Linked DNA regions of Saccharomyces cerevisiae S288C. Each later gene encodes a partner of the first gene's protein in a complex. Each region holds a gene or a part of one and is shown in the gene's direction. Other genes may lie near its edges.

The links.
Region 2: the proteins of EFB1 (region 1) and TEF2 are in contact, whole or in part, in a crystal structure (PDB 2B7C), measured with the Saccharomyces cerevisiae proteins. Residues at the interface, in NP_009398.1 of Saccharomyces cerevisiae: Lys120 (codon at 2,526), Ser121 (codon at 2,529), Ile122 (codon at 2,532), Thr124 (codon at 2,538), Lys128 (codon at 2,550), Pro129 (codon at 2,553), Trp130 (codon at 2,556), Asp131 (codon at 2,559), Asp132 (codon at 2,562), Thr152 (codon at 2,622), Trp153 (codon at 2,625), Gly154 (codon at 2,628), Ala155 (codon at 2,631), Gln157 (codon at 2,637), Ile159 (codon at 2,643), Pro160 (codon at 2,646), Ile161 (codon at 2,649), Gly162 (codon at 2,652), Phe163 (codon at 2,655), Ile165 (codon at 2,661), Gln169 (codon at 2,673), Asn171 (codon at 2,679), Val173 (codon at 2,685), Val174 (codon at 2,688), Asp176 (codon at 2,694), Val179 (codon at 2,703), Ser180 (codon at 2,706), Leu181 (codon at 2,709), Asp182 (codon at 2,712), Asp183 (codon at 2,715); in NP_009676.1 of Saccharomyces cerevisiae: Lys20 (codon at 1,882), Ser21 (codon at 1,885), Lys64 (codon at 2,014), Arg67 (codon at 2,023), Glu68 (codon at 2,026), Arg69 (codon at 2,029), Gly70 (codon at 2,032), Ile71 (codon at 2,035), Thr72 (codon at 2,038), Ile73 (codon at 2,041), Asp74 (codon at 2,044), Ile75 (codon at 2,047), Ala76 (codon at 2,050), Leu77 (codon at 2,053), Trp78 (codon at 2,056), Val89 (codon at 2,089), Ile90 (codon at 2,092), Asp91 (codon at 2,095), Ala92 (codon at 2,098), Pro93 (codon at 2,101), Gly94 (codon at 2,104), His95 (codon at 2,107), Asp97 (codon at 2,113), Phe98 (codon at 2,116), Lys100 (codon at 2,122), Asn101 (codon at 2,125), Gln249 (codon at 2,569), Asp250 (codon at 2,572), Val251 (codon at 2,575), Tyr252 (codon at 2,578).

Annotation. Positions count from the first base shown.
Region 1 is NC_001133.9:140,372-146,766, forward strand, and holds EFB1 (translation elongation factor 1 subunit beta), read left to right. Parts: upstream 1-1,802; coding exon 1,803-1,882; intron 1,883-1,995; exon of another isoform or gene 1,996-2,097; intron 2,098-2,248; coding exon 2,249-2,789; downstream 2,790-6,395. Other genes in the region: Hsp70 family ATPase SSA1, read right to left, coding at 1-1,060; CORVET complex membrane-binding subunit VPS8, read left to right, coding at 3,336-6,395. UniProt on the Saccharomyces cerevisiae protein: Catalytic subunit of the guanine nucleotide exchange factor (GEF) (eEF1B subcomplex) of the eukaryotic elongation factor 1 complex (eEF1).
Region 2 is NC_001134.8:475,847-483,762, forward strand, and holds TEF2 (translation elongation factor EF-1 alpha), read left to right. Parts: upstream 1-1,824; coding exon 1,825-3,201; downstream 3,202-7,916. Other genes in the region: transketolase TKL2, read right to left, coding at 1-591; MUD1 (Mud1p), read left to right, coding at 3,492-3,499, 3,589-4,477; CBP6 (Cbp6p), read right to left, coding at 4,589-5,077; GRS1 (glycine--tRNA ligase), read right to left, coding at 5,518-7,521. UniProt on the Saccharomyces cerevisiae protein: GTP-binding component of the eukaryotic elongation factor 1 complex (eEF1). In its active GTP-bound form, binds to and delivers aminoacyl-tRNA to the A-site of ribosomes during protein biosynthesis.

The DNA of each region.
Region 1 (6,395 bases):
TACCGTTGAAGTAGTCAGTGACCAATTTTTGGACCTTTGGAATTCTGGTAGAACCACCGACCAAGACAATTTCATCGACTTGAGATTTGTCCAATTTAGCATCTCTCAAGACCTTTTCAACTGGGTCCAAAGTAGATCTGAACAAGTCAGCACACAATTCTTCGAATCTGGCTCTGGTGATGGAAGTGTAGAAATCGATACCTTCGAACAAAGAGTCAATTTCAACGGAAGTTTGAGCGGAGGAAGACAAAGTTCTCTTGGCTCTTTCACAAGCGGTTCTTAATCTTCTCAAAGCTCTTTGGTTGGTAGACAAGTCCTTCTTGTTCTTTCTCTTGAATTCTTGGATGAAGTGGTTGACCAATCTGTTGTCAAAATCTTCACCACCCAAATGGGTGTCACCAGCGGTGGCCTTAACTTCAAAGATACCGTCTTCAATGGACAACAAAGAGACATCGAAAGTACCACCACCCAAGTCGAAAATCAAGACGTGTTCTTCCTTACCCTTCTTGTCCAAACCGTAAGCAATGGCAGCGGCGGTAGGTTCGTTAATAATACGCAAGACATTCAAACCAGCAATGGTACCAGCATCCTTGGTAGCTTGTCTTTGAGAATCGTTGAAGTAAGCTGGGACAGTGACGACAGCGTCATTGACCTTGGCTCCCAAGTAAGATTCGGCAGTTTCCTTCATCTTACCCAAGACCATGGAGGAGATTTGTTCTGGGGTAAAGTTCTTGGTTTCACCCTTAAATTCAACTTGAATTTGAGGCTTACCGTCAACATCGATCAACTTGAATGGGAAGTGCTTCATGTCAGCCTGCACTTCTGGGTCGTTGAAGTTTCTACCGATCAAACGCTTAGCGTCGAAAACGGTATTCGAAGGATTCATAGCAGCTTGATTCTTAGCAGCATCACCAATCAATCTTTCAGTGTCAGTGAAAGCGACAAAAGATGGAGTGGTTCTGTTACCTTGATCGTTGGCAATAATGTCCACACGATCATTAGCAAAGTGAGCAACACACGAGTATGTTGTACCTAAATCAATACCGACAGCTTTTGACATATTATCTGTTATTTACTTGAATTTTTGTTTCTTGTAATACTTGATTACTTTTCTTTTGATGTGCTTATCTTACAAATAGAGAAAATAAAACAACTTAAGTAAGAATTGGGAAACGAAACTACAACTCAATCCCTTCTCGAAGATACATCAATCCACCCCTTATATAACCTTGAAGTCCTCGAAACGATCAGCTAATCTAAATGGCCCCCCTTCTTTTTGGGTTCTTTCTCTCCCTTTTGCCGCCGATGGAACGTTCTGGAAAAAGAAGAATAATTTAATTACTTTCTCAACTAAAATCTGGAGAAAAAACGCAAATGACAGCTTCTAAACGTTCCGTGTGCTTTCTTTCTAGAATGTTCTGGAAAGTTTACAACAATCCACAAGAACGAAAATGCCGTTGACAATGATGAAACCATCATCCACACACCGCGCACACGTGCTTTATTTCTTTTTCTGAATTTTTTTTTTCCGCCATTTTCAACCAAGGAAATTTTTTTTCTTAGGGCTCAGAACCTGCAGGTGAAGAAGCGCTTTAGAAATCAAAGCACAACGTAACAATTTGTCGACAACCGAGCCTTTGAAGAAAAAATTTTTCACATTGTCGCCTCTAAATAAATAGTTTAAGGTTATCTACCCACTATATTTAGTTGGTTCTTTTTTTTTTCCTTCTACTCTTTATCTTTTTACCTCATGCTTTCTACCTTTCAGCACTGAAGAGTCCAACCGAATATATACACACATAATGGCATCCACCGATTTCTCCAAGATTGAAACTTTGAAACAATTAAACGCTTCTTTGGCTGACAAGTCATACATTGAAGGGTATGTTCCGATTTAGTTTACTTTATAGATCGTTGTTTTTCTTTCTTTTTTTTTTTTCCTATGGTTACATGTAAAGGGAAGTTAACTAATAATGATTACTTTTTTTCGCTTATGTGAATGATGAATTTAATTCTTTGGTCCGTGTTTATGATGGGAAGTAAGACCCCCGATATGAGTGACAAAAGAGATGTGGTTGACTATCACAGTATCTGACGATAGCACAGAGCAGAGTATCATTATTAGTTATCTGTTATTTTTTTTTCCTTTTTTGTTCAAAAAAAGAAAGACAGAGTCTAAAGATTGCATTACAAGAAAAAAGTTCTCATTACTAACAAGCAAAATGTTTTGTTTCTCCTTTTAAAATAGTACTGCTGTTTCTCAAGCTGACGTCACTGTCTTCAAGGCTTTCCAATCTGCTTACCCAGAATTCTCCAGATGGTTCAACCACATCGCTTCCAAGGCCGATGAATTCGACTCTTTCCCAGCTGCCTCTGCTGCCGCTGCCGAAGAAGAAGAAGATGACGATGTCGATTTATTCGGTTCCGACGATGAAGAAGCTGACGCTGAAGCTGAAAAGTTGAAGGCTGAAAGAATTGCCGCATACAACGCTAAGAAGGCTGCTAAGCCAGCTAAGCCAGCTGCTAAGTCCATTGTCACTCTAGATGTCAAGCCATGGGATGATGAAACCAATTTGGAAGAAATGGTTGCTAACGTCAAGGCCATCGAAATGGAAGGTTTGACCTGGGGTGCTCACCAATTTATCCCAATTGGTTTCGGTATCAAGAAGTTGCAAATTAACTGTGTTGTCGAAGATGACAAGGTTTCCTTGGATGACTTGCAACAAAGCATTGAAGAAGACGAAGACCACGTCCAATCTACCGATATTGCTGCTATGCAAAAATTATAAAAGGCTTTTTTATAAACTTTTTATAATTAACATTAAAGCAAAAACAACATTGTAAAGATTAACAAATAAATGAAAAAAACAACGAAATAACTTAGGTTTTAGGCTAAAAAAAACAGAAGGAATTTTGAACGATAAACTTTTCGACTGCACACGAAACATTATTACTAATTTGTGTAACCACTATATAAGGAATCGTGTTTATTAATTGAATTTATTCCGGGAATATTCAAGTTATGTATATCTCTTTTCATATTCTTAAATACACATACTCATAATATCTTGTCGAAAATACGCGGTGTAGGGAGTTATGGTGGATAACTTTTTCACGATTAGAAGAAAAGGAAAATTTCATTATTCGTAGCTTAACATGGCAAAAACGAGAAAGACATATAATCAAAACGTGAGTTTCCTGTGGAAAAAAAAAAAAGGGAACCTCTGGTTACGATGATATACCTGCGTGAAAAAGGACAGTTATTACCAATACATACAAAGGCTTAATAAGTGTAAAATATATATCTGCCGAGACCATTACTCATTACACCTAGAATGGAGCAAAATGGCCTTGACCACGACAGCAGATCTAGCATCGATACGACTATTAATGACACTCAAAAGACTTTCCTAGAATTTAGATCGTATACCCAATTAAGTGAAAAACTGGCATCTAGTTCTTCATATACGGCACCTCCCCTGAACGAAGATGGTCCTAAAGGGGTAGCTTCTGCAGTGTCACAAGGCTCCGAATCCGTAGTCTCATGGACAACTTTAACACACGTATATTCCATCCTGGGTGCTTATGGAGGGCCCACGTGCTTGTATCCGACAGCCACGTATTTTTTGATGGGCACTTCTAAAGGATGCGTACTCATTTTTAATTATAATGAACATTTGCAGACAATCCTAGTGCCGACCTTATCTGAGGACCCTTCTATTCACTCAATAAGAAGTCCAGTGAAATCAATTGTCATATGTTCCGATGGTACTCATGTAGCTGCCTCATACGAGACCGGAAATATATGCATTTGGAACTTGAACGTAGGGTATAGAGTGAAACCCACTTCTGAACCAACAAATGGTATGACCCCAACGCCTGCCTTACCGGCAGTCTTACACATCGATGACCATGTGAACAAGGAAATCACAGGGTTAGACTTTTTTGGTGCTCGGCATACAGCCCTGATTGTTAGTGATAGGACAGGTAAAGTATCACTCTATAACGGTTACAGAAGAGGCTTTTGGCAGTTGGTGTATAATTCAAAAAAAATTTTAGATGTGAACTCTTCCAAGGAGAAATTAATAAGGTCAAAGTTGTCTCCACTAATATCACGGGAGAAAATTTCCACTAATTTGTTGAGTGTACTCACAACTACACATTTTGCCCTTATTTTATTATCGCCACACGTTTCTTTGATGTTTCAAGAAACTGTTGAACCCTCAGTACAAAATTCTCTAGTCGTGAATAGCTCTATTTCATGGACTCAAAACTGTTCCAGGGTTGCTTATTCCGTAAATAATAAAATTTCTGTTATTTCCATATCTTCATCAGACTTCAATGTTCAGTCCGCTAGCCATTCTCCTGAATTTGCAGAATCTATATTATCCATTCAATGGATTGACCAGCTCCTACTTGGTGTTTTAACCATATCGCACCAATTTTTGGTATTGCACCCCCAACATGACTTCAAGATCCTGTTAAGATTGGATTTTCTGATTCACGATTTGATGATCCCACCTAATAAATATTTTGTAATAAGTAGAAGAAGTTTCTACCTGTTAACAAACTACTCATTTAAAATTGGCAAATTTGTGTCTTGGTCAGATATTACTTTAAGACATATTTTGAAAGGCGACTACTTGGGTGCATTGGAGTTCATAGAATCACTTTTGCAACCTTACTGTCCACTGGCAAACTTGTTGAAGCTAGATAATAATACGGAAGAGAGGACTAAGCAACTTATGGAACCATTTTACAATCTGTCCTTGGCTGCCCTAAGGTTTCTTATAAAAAAAGATAATGCCGACTACAATAGGGTTTACCAATTATTAATGGTAGTTGTTCGTGTTTTGCAGCAATCTTCCAAAAAACTAGACTCAATTCCTTCTCTAGACGTCTTTTTGGAACAGGGTCTGGAGTTCTTTGAATTGAAGGACAACGCGGTATATTTTGAAGTTGTAGCAAATATTGTTGCCCAAGGATCAGTTACGTCAATTTCCCCAGTTCTTTTCAGGTCCATAATTGATTACTATGCTAAGGAGGAGAATTTAAAAGTAATTGAAGACTTAATCATCATGTTAAATCCTACTACGCTTGATGTTGATCTTGCCGTCAAACTATGCCAAAAGTATAATTTGTTCGATTTATTAATATATATTTGGAACAAGATCTTTGATGATTATCAAACCCCAGTGGTGGACTTGATATACAGGATTTCTAACCAAAGTGAAAAATGTGTGATCTTCAATGGTCCTCAAGTACCTCCTGAAACGACTATATTTGATTACGTAACGTATATCCTTACTGGCAGGCAATATCCACAAAACTTGTCTATATCACCAAGTGATAAATGCTCCAAAATACAAAGGGAACTTTCAGCATTTATTTTTAGTGGCTTCTCCATAAAATGGCCGTCGAACAGCAATCATAAACTTTACATATGCGAAAATCCAGAAGAAGAGCCAGCATTTCCTTACTTTCACCTTTTATTGAAATCGAATCCGAGTAGGTTCTTAGCAATGCTCAATGAAGTGTTTGAAGCGTCCTTGTTTAACGATGACAATGACATGGTTGCATCAGTTGGAGAAGCAGAATTGGTAAGTAGGCAATATGTTATTGATCTACTATTGGATGCTATGAAAGATACGGGAAATTCAGACAACATCAGGGTACTTGTTGCAATTTTCATTGCAACTAGTATATCAAAATATCCTCAATTTATTAAAGTGTCTAACCAAGCCCTCGACTGCGTTGTTAATACCATATGCTCCTCTAGGGTTCAAGGTATATATGAAATTTCTCAAATAGCTCTGGAGTCGCTTTTACCCTATTATCATTCAAGAACAACAGAAAATTTTATACTGGAACTAAAAGAAAAAAATTTCAATAAAGTTCTTTTCCATATCTATAAAAGTGAAAATAAGTACGCCAGTGCGCTTTCACTTATTTTAGAAACTAAGGACATCGAAAAAGAATATAACACGGACATTGTATCCATAACCGACTACATACTCAAAAAATGCCCACCTGGAAGTTTAGAATGTGGCAAAGTTACTGAAGTTATCGAGACGAACTTTGATCTTCTTCTCTCAAGGATCGGTATCGAAAAATGCGTCACAATTTTTTCTGACTTTGACTATAATCTTCATCAAGAAATCCTGGAAGTAAAGAATGAGGAGACTCAGCAAAAGTATTTGGATAAGCTTTTTTCTACGCCAAATATCAACAATAAGGTCGATAAGCGTTTAAGAAATTTACACATCGAATTGAACTGTAAATACAAGAGCAAAAGGGAAATGATTCTTTGGCTTAATGGTACAGTTCTCAGCAACGCTGAGAGCTTACAAATTCTGGACTTATTGAATCAAGACTCTAATTTTGAAGCTGCAGCT
Region 2 (7,916 bases), on another chromosome or scaffold:
GTACGAGGTTTTACCGTCAATGGAAATGCTATTACTGTCATAAAACGTAATCAAGTTACCCAATTGCAGATGTCCCGCTAAGGAAGAGGTCTCCGAAGAAACACCCTCTTGTAAGCAACCATCCCCTACAATAGCAAACGTATATGAGTCGGAAATGGGAAAGCCATCCTCGTTATAAGTGGCGGCAAAGTTGGCCTGCGCTATTGCCATACCAACAGCATTTGAGATACCCTGGCCTAGCGGACCGGAAGTGATTTCCACTCCCGCTGAGTGGAATTCTGGATGACCCGGTGTCCTTGAGTTTACTTGTCTAAATTGTCTCAAGTCCTCGATAGAGTAATCGTATCCTAATAGATGGAGCATTGAGTACAGAAGAGCGCATGAGTGACCGTTCGACAGAACAAACCTGTCTCTATTGATCCAATGTTCATTGTTAGGGTTACAGCGCAGTTGCTTGAAAATTACATGGGCAACTGGTGCCAATCCTAGTGGTGCACCTGGGTGGCCAGATTGTGCGCTTTCCACCTGGTCAACGGAAAGTAATCTTAAAGTGGAAACCGCAAGTTTATCAATGTCGGAGAACTGTGCCATTTTTTTGTTCTTTTTTTGATTAGTAAGGTATAATCGTCTACGTAGAGGTTACAAATCGAAGACTACAGTAAGAGGGGACAAGCCAATTGAATATACGACTGAAATAAATGGAATAATTCTGCATTATTACACTCGTTTATATATCCAAACAGGTGATCTGGTATTCTCTTGACAACGAATGAAGCTCCCTATATTCGACACTCCTTATTCAGGACTCCTCCCAACAAGGAGAAGTAGGTGTTCCTTGAGCTACCCTTTAAAGCTGGGGAGATGAGCTTGCCCTTCCTGTCATCGCCATTATGACGAGAAAAGTAAAACATGTAGAATAAGGTCCACCCAAACATGTCCGAGCAATGACGTTATATATCGTGTTCCCTGTTCAAAGCATGGCATATGTGCCATTAAAGGCGAATTTTTGTCCCTAGCAAAGGAGAGACAGCGAGCCACCATTAAGAAGTGACTTGAAAGCAAGCGAAAATAGCTACACATATATATCAATATATTGACCTATAAACCCAAAATGTGAAAGAAATTTGATAGGTCAAGATCAATGTAAACAATTACTTTGTTATGTAGAGTTTTTTTAGCTACCTATATTCCACCATAACATCAATCATGCGGTTGCTGGTGTATTTACCAATAATGTTTAATGTATATATATATATATATATATGGGGCCGTATACTTACATATAGTAGATGTCAAGCGTAGGCGCTTCCCCTGCCGGCTGTGAGGGCGCCATAACCAAGGTATCTATAGACCGCCAATCAGCAAACTACCTCCGTACATTCATGTTGCACCCACACATTTATACACCCAGACCGCGACAAATTACCCATAAGGTTGTTTGTGACGGCGTCGTACAAGAGAACGTGGGAACTTTTTAGGCTCACCAAAAAAGAAAGAAAAAATACGAGTTGCTGACAGAAGCCTCAAGAAAAAAAAAATTCTTCTTCGACTATGCTGGAGGCAGAGATGATCGAGCCGGTAGTTAACTATATATAGCTAAATTGGTTCCATCACCTTCTTTTCTGGTGTCGCTCCTTCTAGTGCTATTTCTGGCTTTTCCTATTTTTTTTTTTCCATTTTTCTTTCTCTCTTTCTAATATATAAATTCTCTTGCATTTTCTATTTTTCTCTCTATCTATTCTACTTGTTTATTCCCTTCAAGGTTTTTTTTTAAGGAGTACTTGTTTTTAGAATATACGGTCAACGAACTATAATTAACTAAACATGGGTAAAGAGAAGTCTCACATTAACGTTGTCGTTATCGGTCATGTCGATTCTGGTAAGTCTACCACTACCGGTCATTTGATTTACAAGTGTGGTGGTATTGACAAGAGAACCATCGAAAAGTTCGAAAAGGAAGCCGCTGAATTAGGTAAGGGTTCTTTCAAGTACGCTTGGGTTTTGGACAAGTTAAAGGCTGAAAGAGAAAGAGGTATCACTATCGATATTGCTTTGTGGAAGTTCGAAACTCCAAAGTACCAAGTTACCGTTATTGATGCTCCAGGTCACAGAGATTTCATCAAGAACATGATTACTGGTACTTCTCAAGCTGACTGTGCTATCTTGATTATTGCTGGTGGTGTCGGTGAATTCGAAGCCGGTATCTCTAAGGATGGTCAAACCAGAGAACACGCTTTGTTGGCTTTCACCTTGGGTGTTAGACAATTGATTGTTGCTGTCAACAAGATGGACTCCGTCAAATGGGACGAATCCAGATTCCAAGAAATTGTCAAGGAAACCTCCAACTTTATCAAGAAGGTTGGTTACAACCCAAAGACTGTTCCATTCGTCCCAATCTCTGGTTGGAACGGTGACAACATGATTGAAGCTACCACCAACGCTCCATGGTACAAGGGTTGGGAAAAGGAAACCAAGGCCGGTGTCGTCAAGGGTAAGACTTTGTTGGAAGCCATTGACGCCATTGAACAACCATCTAGACCAACTGACAAGCCATTGAGATTGCCATTGCAAGATGTTTACAAGATCGGTGGTATTGGTACTGTGCCAGTCGGTAGAGTTGAAACCGGTGTCATCAAGCCAGGTATGGTTGTTACTTTCGCCCCAGCTGGTGTTACCACTGAAGTCAAGTCCGTTGAAATGCATCACGAACAATTGGAACAAGGTGTTCCAGGTGACAACGTTGGTTTCAACGTCAAGAACGTTTCCGTTAAGGAAATCAGAAGAGGTAACGTCTGTGGTGACGCTAAGAACGATCCACCAAAGGGTTGCGCTTCTTTCAACGCTACCGTCATTGTTTTGAACCATCCAGGTCAAATCTCTGCTGGTTACTCTCCAGTTTTGGATTGTCACACTGCTCACATTGCTTGTAGATTCGACGAATTGTTGGAAAAGAACGACAGAAGATCTGGTAAGAAGTTGGAAGACCATCCAAAGTTCTTGAAGTCCGGTGACGCTGCTTTGGTCAAGTTCGTTCCATCTAAGCCAATGTGTGTTGAAGCTTTCAGTGAATACCCACCATTAGGTAGATTCGCTGTCAGAGACATGAGACAAACTGTCGCTGTCGGTGTTATCAAGTCTGTTGACAAGACTGAAAAGGCCGCTAAGGTTACCAAGGCTGCTCAAAAGGCTGCTAAGAAATAAGAGTAATAATTATTGCTTCCATATAATATTTTTATATACCTCTTATTTTTATGTATTAGTTAATTAAGTATTTTTATCTATCTGCTTATCATTTTCTTTTCATATAGGGGGGGTTGGTGTTTTCTTGCCCATCAGATTGATGTCCTCCAACTCGGCACTATTTTACAAAGGGTTTTTTTGTAAGAGAAGGAGAAGACAGATACTAAACCATACGTTACTCGAAACAAAAAAAAAAAAAATGGAAAAAGCTGCTATCAACAAAAGACGGCCTCATCAAACCTAAAGAAACCATGTCAGCGTATGTATATACCTTGTAATTTACGTTTCCTTAAATCTTCTTTCTACTAACGTTTTCATTATTCTATACTCTATGACCAATAAAAACAGACTGTACTTTCAAAATTTACCCAGTAGGCCAGCAAATAAAGAAAATTATACCAGATTACTTCTGAAACACATTAATCCCAACAACAAGTATGCCATTAATCCGTCGCTACCCCTTCCCCACAATAAATTACAAATATCATCACAACCGCTGATGTTACTAGATGATCAAATGGGCCTTCTTGAAGTTTCTATTTCAAGATCATCAAAGATGACTAACCAAGCATTTTTAACGTTTGTCACTCAAGAAGAAGCAGACCGGTTTCTAGAAAAATACACGACAACAGCATTAAAAGTTCAAGGTCGTAAAGTGAGAATGGGAAAGGCTCGAACAAATTCGTTATTGGGTCTTTCAATAGAAATGCAAAAAAAAAAAGGTAATGACGAAACGTACAACCTTGATATAAAGAAGGTGCTTAAAGCAAGGAAACTTAAACGCAAGTTACGTAGTGATGATATATGCGCCAAAAAGTTCAGGCTTAAAAGGCAAATAAGACGCCTGAAGCATAAGCTGAGATCAAGAAAGGTAGAGGAGGCTGAGATTGATAGGATTGTAAAAGAATTTGAAACCCGTAGATTGGAAAACATGAAGTCTCAGCAAGAAAATCTAAAACAATCGCAGAAACCTCTTAAGCGGGCTAAAGTGTCCAATACAATGGAAAATCCACCGAACAAAGTCCTTCTTATACAAAATTTGCCAAGCGGCACTACCGAGCAATTATTGTCGCAAATACTTGGCAATGAGGCTTTAGTTGAAATCAGATTAGTTAGCGTTCGTAACCTAGCTTTCGTGGAATACGAGACCGTTGCTGATGCTACGAAAATCAAGAATCAGTTAGGCTCCACTTACAAGCTACAAAACAATGACGTTACCATAGGATTTGCTAAGTAGAATTTCCTTTGCGGAAGTATACCTCGAGTAAAGAAATTCACAGATAAATTTGAATAACGTTCTCCATTATGAATAAATATGTATTTACAAGCTTAGAAAATAATGTGCTCTTTATTTACCAAATAATACAGTTCTCATTGCAGTAAATAAGCTTTCCTTTTTCTTACCGTCAACGGCATTTATTAACCGTTGATAATATTGGGGATTTCCTGCAGGTTTATAGAGCTTATCGCCAATATCGTAATAGTTTCTGAATTTATTATTCATTATAGTGCTCAAGGCACGAATTTGCTCGTTGATGCTTTCTTCCGTGAATTTCTCATCTACCATTTTATTTTGAATTTTGGTTAACATCTCCTTATTCAGTCCTAATGGACCGGAAGTTCTGTTAATTATACTTTTTATTTCATCTAATGAGGGTTTTTTCTCTTTTATAGATTTTCCTTTGTCATCTACATTTGGCAGACCCGCTACACGTCTAAATCTTGCTATTTGTACATCCCTGAATGAGACCAAGTGGTGTATACGATCCTTTGGATATTTTTCCAGTAAATTAACTAATTTTTTGGCAGAATCCCTGACGACCTGGGAAGAAGACATTTTGGCACTTGCTTGTGGAATACGGAGTTTAACTTGGTAAGCTGATAGAGAGAATGTTTCAATGAAGGCTACCTTTTTTTCTTATAATGTTGCTACCACAGGAAATCTTGATATACGTTAATGTTTTGGCCCCTACAAGGCCGGAAATATTTCGCTTTTTCTTGATATCAGAATTTTTCGCATGTCCGACCATGCGCAGAGCTGCTATGAAAGTACTTTAACTATTAGTGTGAGGAATGGCTAAATAAACAGCAGATGTGATTTCCGCACTTCTTTTATAAACTTCCAAAATAATCGTATTAGTGGACAGTACATAATCATATCTTGCAATACGTATCAATAGTAAACGAATTATTTATTCATACACACATGTATATACTTCTCGCTTCTTTTTTTAATTTACATGTTTGGCGATATATAGTTAAAATTAAGTCATTTATTTAGTCAGTTTCAGCTTCAGCTTCAGCTTGGGCAATAAAAGGAGTCAAATCCTTGGTACCTTCTTCCCAAGAAGCACCATTGTAAGTGATATCGCGGATAGCCTTGATGACATTTTCGACGGAACCTCTAACTTGCTTGGTGGAATCTCTTTCTCTCAAAGTGACAGAATGGTCTTTGGCAGATTCAAAGTCAATGGTGACACCGAATGGAGTACCTAATTCGTCATTACGGGCATATCTTTTACCAATGGAAACTCCAGAATCATCAATCTTAAATGGGATTTGAGACTTTCTTAAGATTTTGGCGACTTCAGTAGTAACAGGAACTAAATCTTTGTGGTTAGATAAAGGAACTAAAAGAACCTTTGTTGGAGCAACCAAAGGTGGGAAGGAAAGAACACTTCTGGCATTGTCTTCTGGTCTGTTCCAGAAAGAGTGCTCAAAAACGGAGTAGATGATACGGCCAATACCGAAAGATGGTTCAATGACACTAGGAACATATTCTCTAACGTGTTCAACCTTTGTTCTTTGTTCGATTTTAACCAATTTATCGTCCAACTCGACTTCGCCATCAACACCATCAACCTTTATAGTAAACTTGCCATTTGCCTTCAATAACTCAGCCTTGGAAGCCAAGTCATCTTGAGACATATTCAATAGATGAGATTCAACTTTTGGTGCATCTTTTCTGAATTTTGGACCGAACAATTTTTTCGTCAAATCAATTTCCCACTTGGTGACTTCAATTGGATTATCTAATTTTTGTCTAACAACCAATTTTTCTTTGGTCTTTTTGGAATGAACGGTCAAATCATAGGCAGATCTATCAGCACATCCGACACATTCAATCCACCCGTAAGATGTCTTCAATTCACCATCCCAACAGTCAGCAGCATAATGTGCCATTTCATTAGCCATATGTTGACGGAATCTCAATTTGGACTCATCAACACCAATTTTCATCAAAAATTGGTAAATTCTGGCAATAAAGTAACCCAAAGTTTCATTATCGACCATTCTTGAAGCAACTGCTTCACCAACTGTCTTGACAATTGGTTCAGTAGAACCAGCTTCTTGAACATCACGAGGCAAAAAGGAAAGCTTGATGTCTTTGATTTCATTAAATTTTGGATGAGATTTGTCCAATGGGTCAACGAAATGTTCAATCTCTGCCATCAAAAATTCACGGACTCTTAATAAACCGGCCCTTGGGGAAATCTCATTTCTAAATGATTTACCGATAGAGGCTGAGGCAAAAGGGGTCTTACTGTTGTTAAATTCTAACAACTTGTTAAAATTCAAGAATTGACCTTGGGCAGTTTCTGGCCTCAAGTAACCCTTTAATTGACCAGATGGGCCAATAGCCGTTTCAAACATCAGGTTAAAAGCCCTTGGAGATTCTAAAGTTTCTCCGGTGACTGGGTTACCGATATCGTATTTTTCCATCAATTCACCTAATTCTGGGCCGGAATAACCATCTATTTTAGCCAAAATTTCTTCATATTCTTTGACAACGTCGTCATCCAATTTGACTGCTTTAATTTGTTTAACTTTTTTCTTTCTCTTCTTCTTTTCGGCATCGTCCTTAGCAGCGGCATTAGCATCCTCGACTAAACCTCTGGCTTCTTGGTCACCCTTTAAGCGAGCTTCCAAAACTTCTTCGACTAAATGGTCAGCTCTGAAAATCTCACCAGTCTTCAAATCTCTACACATCCAATCAGAAAATTTGTCAACATGACCTGAGGTCTTCAAAACCTCATATGGAGTTAACATAGTACAATCAACTTCCAACATATCTTCTTCCAAAATAAAATGCTTTCTCCAGGCGTCAATGATGTTGTTTTGGAATGCACAACCTGGTGGACCATAGTCATATAAACCAGAAACCCCACCGTACAAGTCAAAAGCTGGGGCATAAAAAAATCTTCCTCTCAAAACACTTTCTAGCTGTTCTCTGTTAAATGGAACAGCGGCTCTAGCCTTCTTGATATCTTCTACACTCATTCTTTTAATCTTAACCGATTTTTTAACAATCTGAGAGTAAAATCGTCTACTGATATTGAAGAACGACAATTTTTCTTGAAAATCAACACGAATGCAAAAAGGGAAACTAAAATAAAAGAAATCCTCAAAAGTAATTGAACAGATTTCGAGTCCTAATTGCAAGTAAAATTATGTATACAAAGTACGTGATAAGTATCGCAGCAGTGATTCAACACTCGAGAAGAGTAAAAATTTTCAATTTTTTTCCACTGCGCTGAAATATTACGAGGCGTAGAAAATGATCACTACAATGCCGTTGCTGCTTATTGCAGCGTAAGTGAGCTTCATTCACAGACCATTTGCCTCGATAATCCATGAATCATATCTGGTTCATATTATGTTTGTAAATGTGTGTC